Arabidopsis thaliana: one gene and its partner. The protein of the gene in region 1 interacts with the protein of each later gene in a pairwise test. Each region holds a gene or a part of one and is shown in the gene's direction. Other genes may lie near its edges.

Evidence for each region.
Region 2: the proteins of RUXF (region 1) and AT2G18740 interact in a two-hybrid assay, tested with the Arabidopsis thaliana proteins (one large-scale study listed by BioGRID).

Annotation. Positions count from the first base shown.
Region 1 is NC_003075.7:14,802,161-14,805,918, reverse strand, and holds RUXF (small nuclear ribonucleoprotein F), read left to right. Parts: upstream 1-1,560; 5' UTR 1,561-1,659; coding exon 1,660-1,665; intron 1,666-2,021; coding exon 2,022-2,133; intron 2,134-2,211; coding exon 2,212-2,249; intron 2,250-2,436; coding exon 2,437-2,501; intron 2,502-2,749; coding exon 2,750-2,819; 3' UTR 2,820-2,959; downstream 2,960-3,758. UniProt on the Arabidopsis thaliana protein: Probable common Sm protein, is found in U1 and U2 snRNPs and may be part of the spliceosome.
Region 2 is NC_003071.7:8,121,288-8,125,660, forward strand, and holds AT2G18740 (Small nuclear ribonucleoprotein family protein), read left to right. Parts: upstream 1-1,933; 5' UTR 1,934-2,046; coding exon 2,047-2,088; intron 2,089-2,188; coding exon 2,189-2,215; intron 2,216-2,314; coding exon 2,315-2,377; intron 2,378-3,098; coding exon 3,099-3,177; intron 3,178-3,264; coding exon 3,265-3,310; intron 3,311-3,413; coding exon 3,414-3,423; 3' UTR 3,424-3,791; downstream 3,792-4,373. Other genes in the region: DGK3 (diacylglycerol kinase 3), read left to right, coding at 49-165, 244-402.

The DNA of each region.
Region 1 (3,758 bases):
TTTTCAGCTTAGAAAATTTAGTTATTCAAAAGCATGGTCAAGAATGATAGAGATAGAATTATTCAAACACAAATTAATAATGTTTGAAAATTTGAGATTTACATTTCTTCATGATGTAAAACTTTGATTGAAATGCCTATATTTTTTAAATTCTTTGTCAAAGACTATATGTTTATACATATGTACATAAATGTACCACGATCACACAAATTTGCATAGATTTGTACACCCAACCGGTAAAATAAAAAGACTGTGCAAAAAGCTAACTGATGGTATTGTATAAAATATAGATTCGACATGTCACCACTTCTATATAAATATATATAAGAATTAGCGAAACACAATCTAAAAATGTTTAGACAATTTTCTTTAGGTATATTTTCGAAGGAGCAAGTTTACACACAAACAAACTGTATGAAGCATATTGATTGTGAAAAAAGATAGTCGAGACTAATTCAGAAGAAGACTAAGACATTGTGACAAAAGTATAAAAAATAAGTGCTGAGGTATGAATTGTTGCGCGTAACTGAGGTCAGCTGAGAAAATGACTTTCGCCTGGCTGCTAACATTTCGTTTCGGACCTTTCGGTTATTACAAACATTAAAACGATGATTATAATTATATTCTAGACTATAGTTTTTGATATTTTCAACTATCCAATTATAGTTTAGGTATATTAAATCGAGGAAGTGGAAGTGTAGTGATTAAAGAAACTCAATTGTTAGAGAAAAAAAAACTAAAGGAATTAGAGCCACAATTACAAACTATCCACTTTGTTTTTTCGTTTTCAACGTACATCAACTTACGCTGCAAGGCACAAGTCATAAGTAGGTTATTCATATACATTGCTTGACTACAAAGTTTGATTTGTTTTCCCTTTTTATAACAATTTCATATGGTGCGATGTTACTATTTTGCCTTTAAACGCAAAAAAGTAAGATGATTCACATCTATAGCAGTTCACTTCAAATGTTTTTTTGTTCAAAAAATAAAAATCATGATGTAGATAACCTTTTCTATTAGCATGCTGATTTTATAAGCGTTTTCTTTATCATAGTAAACATATAATGACGTGAAAAAAAAAGTAAACATATAATGACTTGTAAAAAAAATAAAAATGAAAAGACCTCAAAAATGAAAAATACTTTGCACTAGATGATGGATGACCTCAACAGATGAGTGGTTCACGTTCACCTAATTCTTTGGTCATATATGTGATGCCAATCGTTTTAGTTTTGATGTAATAATTATAGAATTCTAATGGAATTATATATAATCTAAACTAATAATTGGATGGTCAAAGAGTAGAAAGCCGGCTAATTGTTTTAAAGGCAAGCTGACAAAATTTGATCATTGTGTAAAGATGAATGCAATATAATGGACTTTTGTTCTCGAGAAACCATTCTTCTTGCCGGTTTTATGTCATTAGGTTGGAATGCATGTCGTTTTTGTCATGTATTATTTGTTTTCACTTTTATGGAGATTTCACAAAGCAAGCCAGTTGAACCAATAATGGGCCTTATGAGATATTTTCGCAGGCCCATTATCTTCTGTACAGCAACGAATAAACCCAGCCAAAAACCCTAAATCGAGAGAAACCACAAGCGTATCGATATTTGTTCTCCCAGATCTTCGTTTCGTCTCTTCGTTCTCAAACTCATGGCGGTAAGTTTCGATTTTTTCGTCTTCTGATTCTAAGTTCGAGCTTAGATTAGTTAATTCCTTTCTTTATTGAGCTCAAAATTAGAATTTTATCTGTTAAGTAGTTTTAGGGATTGCGAAATTCGATGGCCTGAGCTCTTCTTTCAGCTCCAATCTCGTCGATTTATCTGATTACAAGTAAAAGATTGGAGTATCTGCGAATCTGAATCTGATTCGAAATTGTTATATATATGTCGTTAACGAGTATAATAGTCCACTACATAAAAATTGCATTCGAGAATTCGTTGGAAAATGCACAATGTGTTTATCTTCAAATGTGATGCTTTTGAGTTCATTCCATTAGTATTTGATGAACCAAGTTTGTATGTATGTGTGTTTTGCAGACTATTCCGGTTAACCCGAAACCATTCTTGAACAACTTGACCGGCAAGACTGTTATCGTCAAGCTTAAATGGGGAATGGAATACAAAGGTATATTTTTCTTCAAAATGCTTTTGATGATAAGTATCCAGAGCTTATATAGCTAACAGTCTTCCTTCTACTTCACAGGTTTTCTCGCCTCTGTTGACTCCTACATGAACTTGCAGGTGCGTTATTTCCTGAATTACAAAGTTAGATAAGATAGCTTTTTGATTAAACAGAGAGATTGATGTTATTTTGTCCAAAACCACCTGCTAAATGTTCCTTGTGCATACAAGTTTAGAGGCAATGCTGATAATCTGTACAGATACATAGATTGTTATGCATTGACATTTTCCATATTGTTTTTGTCAGCTGGGAAACACCGAAGAATATATTGATGGACAATTGACAGGGAACCTTGGAGAGATCTTGATCAGGTAATAATATTACTTCATTGTCTCTACTTATTTTCTCCTTGTGATTCAGTTTATGTTTCCAACTATATGATTCACAGTGAAGTGTCATTACTTGATAAAACTTAAGAATTAGACTTGGCGGCCATTATTAGCACACATTTATCATTTTCTCTCTGATAGTAGTGGATTCATTGACTAACTATCAGGTTTGTAATTGCTTCGAAATTTTCGGATCCATTGAATTAATTTGCTGACTTTTGTGTACATAGGTGCAACAATGTTTTGTATGTCCGTGGTGTGCCAGAAGATGAAGAGCTTGAAGACGCTGATCAAGACTAACCTGTATTGAGTACTTAGAAATTGCAAGTCTGTGTGTTTTAATTTTTGTATTCTGTGAGCACTTTAATCTTAGTGTGATGTTGTTGAATCTTAAGAGTTTGTTGATCATATTCATACCTTAAAAAACTAACAAGCCCTTTTTCTTATGAGAAACCATTCTTCTTGCCGGTTCTTAGTCAATTCTTTTTTTAACCATTTTTATTGGGCCTAAATTTATAGCCCATCAAGTGGTAGCAAGTAGCAACATTGAGATTCTTTTGTTTACCAAATTTAAGCCATAAGTATGTACCCGCAAAATAAAAGAATTCGAGAGATTTCACTCTTTTTAAAAATAATTTTCAAACATAATATAATGTACCAAGCAATTACCAAACATAATATATCGTTCCAAGCAATCAGTTTTCAGATTAATCGGATCAATCATGCGTCCTAGCTTAAATGATAAATAATATTATTTAGTCTAACTTATTAGTATGTATGCTATATTGATTAATGATTAGCGTATTCCAGAAAAATAAGTTTTTTGCTGAAATTGTTTTAAAATAGGATATAAAGACAACCATGTACTTAATCGGGAATAAGTTAACCATGTACTTAATCGGGCTTTATGCATTGGGTCTATGATTAAGAAGTTGGACTACTAATGGGCTGTAATAGTCCTATATTGGCCCTTCTCAGAAATCTTACTAATGAGTCCGCAAACTACAATCAGCGCTACTAAATTTACATCCAGCCCATGAAGTGGTAGCAATATTGGGACAACCTTTGCGGTAATGGAGATGACAATTTGAATATACTTCTTCTTAGTCTTAACTCATCAATTGAAAAACTAACAAAAATAGTTCTACGGTAAAATTCGAGTCTAGTTATTTGAAAAGGCCAAGATAAGAAAAATAGTTTGAGTTCAAACCTTAATAAAAAAAATCAGTAGACTTACGG
Region 2 (4,373 bases), on another chromosome or scaffold:
ACTCAGTTCTCTGATGTTAACCCGAATGTTTTCTTTGGTTTTTCTCAGAGAGGCTTTGTGGAAGCACATTGTGATGATGGTTTGATAGAGATTTTCGGTTTTAAGCAAGGATGGCACGCGTCATTTGTCATGGCTGAGCTCATCTCTGCCAAGCACATAGCTCAGGTAACTTCAAAAGACACTGGTCAATGTATAATCTTTTTAGCCATGTGTTTGACTGTTTCATTTTGGTGATCATTTCAGGCTGCTGCGGTAAGATTTGAGCTAAGAGGAGGTGACTGGAGAGACGCATTCTTGCAAATGGATGGTGAGCCATGGAAGCAACCAATGAGCACTGAGTACTCAACATTTGTGGAGATCAAGAAGGTTCCTTATCAATCTCTGATGATAAATAATGAATGATTGAGATTCAAAGCTGGATTCTTTGTACAAAGCTAATTGTTTTGTATTTGGATTTGATTCAGTTAGTCATAGATATAGCCTAAGCTTTTTAGTCTTCTTTTCTTTTAAATCTGAGATTGTGACCATTTTTCTCTTTTTAATTTCTGCTTATTGTTGGTTTTGTACATTTTTGTGTTGTGAGGAATGAAGTTTGTTTATTTATAAGAATGTGGGAAGATAATATTTGGTCAAATTTCAATCTCTCTTCAATCTTTGTAATTCTAGCATTGAGCACATAGATGTGATTCTTTGTCATATTTTTATTTATTTTAACACTAGTTCGACTGAGAACCAATTTATCATCGACACCAATTTCTAAGTAAGAATATTTTTAATAATTATCATTATTAGTCGTATATTTTTACCAGAATAATAAAAAATTAAAAACCTAAGTTAATAAACCACACAAAAAAGTTTTTCTCTCTTCGCTCTCTCGTAGTTTGTAAAGATAGAAACTGAAATTTCTTTTGTTTTTGTTAACCGGATAGTTTTCCGGTGAGTCGCCGTCCCGTTTAATTCGGGCTTTCGTCCGACATCTTCTAGCTACGTTAGTGGAGATGGTTGGCTTTTTGTATGGCATCGTTGGCTAACTTAGCGACGTTGGCCAGCTTCCGTACGGCAGCGTTGGGCTTACACTAACAGCGTTGGTCATCTTTGTTTTTGTTTTGTTACTTCAAAGGTTTGATGATGAAGCTTTATGGCATGCAGAATCGTCAGATCTGAAGAGGGTTTCTCTTTACAAGATCTATTCTCCTTCTGTTTTGTTTAGCTTCACTATTGGGTTATGCTTTTGGCTCTGGTAGTTTTTCGGCGATGTGTGCGTTTCCAGCAATTACCCTCGTTTGGATCTACCATATTTAAGACAGTTTCAATTTTATTTTCGCCTAAGATTGGGTTAAAGCTTCTATCCTATGCAAATTTGATATGCCTTTAGTGCTTTTGCAAGAGAGTTCGAAGATTCAATGGTTGGACAAGTTTGAACTACTCAATTTTTTTAATTTCTTTACCCGTTTTGATGAATTATTTGTGATTCTAGCAACCATATGAGATTAGGAAATTGATGTTTGTTCTATAACATCTAATTGCCATAATCGGTGATAGAAAAAAAGAGTTTCATTGCTCGGTGCTTTCCCGGCGATGGTTCTCCGATTCACCAGACTTGAGTCTCATCCGGTGGAGGTTGTGGAAGATTCACGTGTCCTTAGCTTATTATTATTGGTCTGACACGTCTTAAGCTTATCTCTTTTTTGTGACGTAAAAGTCTGTTGTGGACCTCATATGTAGACTGTCTTGAGCCTTTTATGTTGTAACACTGAGCCTCAGTATATTAAAAATAAATCTTTCTCTGAAAAAAAAAAAAAAAAAGTTAAAAACCTACGCTAAAAAATTCTAGGTCTTGGAAAAGAGTATTTGGGCCAAATGATCACATTAATTAGTTATGGGCTGAAATAACATTCTGAAGTTTTATGAGGACCGAGAGAACTAAGTTTAAGAAAAATGTTGAAAAAAGCGTATTAGCAGAGGGACAAACGCTTTTTAGGGTTTTAGATTTCCTCTGAGAGAGAATTTTCGAAAGCTTGAGAGAGATTTCCAACTACGTTAGCCATGGCGAGCACCAAAGTTCAAAGGATTATGACCCAACCTATCGTACGTTTCTTCTTCGATTCCTTTGTTCCATCTCTTTATTGTTTCTATCGAAACCTAATTTTGTATCTTGCTTTTTGTTTTCCGGTGGCGGCGGCTCCAGAACTTGATTTTTAGGTTTCTTCAAAGTGTAAGTTGTTCAATTTCTTCTGATTTGCTCTCTGAGGTTTTAGGTTATTAGTAGTTCGTCTACTGATTTGTTCCCTGGTCTTTTGTGTTTGTGATGCAGAAAGCTAGGATCCAGATTTGGCTATTTGAGCAGAAAGATTTGAGGATTGAAGGAAGAATCACTGTAAGTTGATGTTGAAGCTCCGTTATCATGAATTGATTAGATTCCTGGCTTTGTTTATAGGACATTCGAGGGTTATGCTAACTTTAGGAGAGTTTGAAATGCATTAGCAGTGTGACTATCTCTCTAATTTAGTCTGTGTTTGAACTGTTGCATTTGTTGTGAATTGAAAAGGGATAGTTGTCACTGTTACTACTACTGCACAAAGAACTGATAAGAGCCTGCCAATAGAAACTAGTTTGATTAGCTAGCTGTTCTTAGGTTGAGTATGATTGTGTCATTCTCTTCGGCTTAAAACTTATTGTCTCCTACAGCCTACTTGGCTTTGGGTGTTACTTGTTTCAGTTTGTTGCTATGCTTGTAGTTGTATGTCCTCTATGATTTTCGAGTTATGATTCAAGCATTCAAGCTTTTCTTAGTTTGATTCTATGATAATTTGGAGAAACTTGAGATTTTGTGATGGTGTCATTCTCATTGGCTTAAAGGTTTGAGTTGTCTACTTGACTTTTGTTGTTCCATGTTGCAGTCTACTTGACTTTTGTTGTTCCTCGAGTTAAGATCCTAGCTTTTCTGAGGTTGATTATATGTATGGAGGAACATGATATTTGTGATAGTGTCACTCTACTCGGTTTTAAACTTAGATTTTTGTCTACTTGAATTTGGGTGTATTATTGATTCTTCTAGGAGAATCCATCAAACCTTGCTTATCCGTCGTCCTTTGCAGGGTTTTGACGAATACATGAATCTAGTTTTGGATGAGGCTGAAGAAGTGAGCATCAAGAAGAACACCAGGAAACCACTTGGTGAGTTATCCTGAACTCACTCTTTGATAACAAGTCTCAGATCTGTCTGCTTATGGTTTGATAACTCGTGTTAATACCTATTTTCAGGAAGGATTTTACTCAAAGGAGACAACATAACTCTGATGATGAACACGTAAGTAACACAATCTCTACTCTGTCTTCTCTCTTTATGATGTATAGCAGCTTGATTTGTCACATAACAAAAGATTGAAACAAAATCCTTTCTATGTTAACAGGGGAAAGTGATGTCTGTCTCAAACAACTCTCTTCGATGACCTTCAAGCTTATGTTAAATATCTGTTGAGTTCTTCCTCAGCTTAATTGGTACTTGACGATACCTTCTTTTCTTCAATGTCGTATAATATATTGCAATGTAGTGAGTGACAAAGGAGCTTGATCGAATCTAGTGGATTGGTTGGTTAAAACTTCAAAAAAGAGATTTGGTCCCTTTTGGTTAAATCTAGTGTTATGTAATTTGGCTGATCTTTGTTGCAACTTTTTAACCTCTGTTTAAATTTCAAACCTTAAAAAAGTAAAACCAATTGATTTTGATTATAAAAAAAATTGTATCATTTTTGTTTGTTTGGTGAACTGACCGAGTTGGCCATTCTCAGGGCTCAAGTAGATTGAAAGTTTAATTATACTAATAGACCAATCAGAATATAATCTGTTAAAGTTAACATAAAAATACAGAAATCTATGTGAACATTAACTTTTCATTGCAATTAGATGTTTTTATATCCATGTTGATTGTTGAATCTTATCCCTAATCTTGCTATTGGTGAAATGAATGTATTTTTACTATTAAAGTCTTTTTTTAATAACAAATAATTGGACTTTATACAACAAAGTATTATTATTTAATTATCAACTTTAGAATATAGCATGTGCCAAAAATACATACACTAGCCGCCGGCCCAAGAATGTCGTCCAATAAACGAAAAGCAAAAGTGACGGCAATCCAAGCCTACTGTGATCTTGTCCGCACCCGATAACTATCTTTAATTACTAAAACTAGTCAAAGTACTCGACTAATCACAAAACTAGACAAGTGTTTCAAGTAAATTAATTTTTGATCTTTTCATTTTATCTCTCTCTCTTTTTCTTCTATCCAAAACACCATTTTTGAGGTATTTTTCTCTCTCCTTCGAATCGAATTTTCAGGTTTCTCTTTCCGTTTGTTTGAAGAAGCTTTT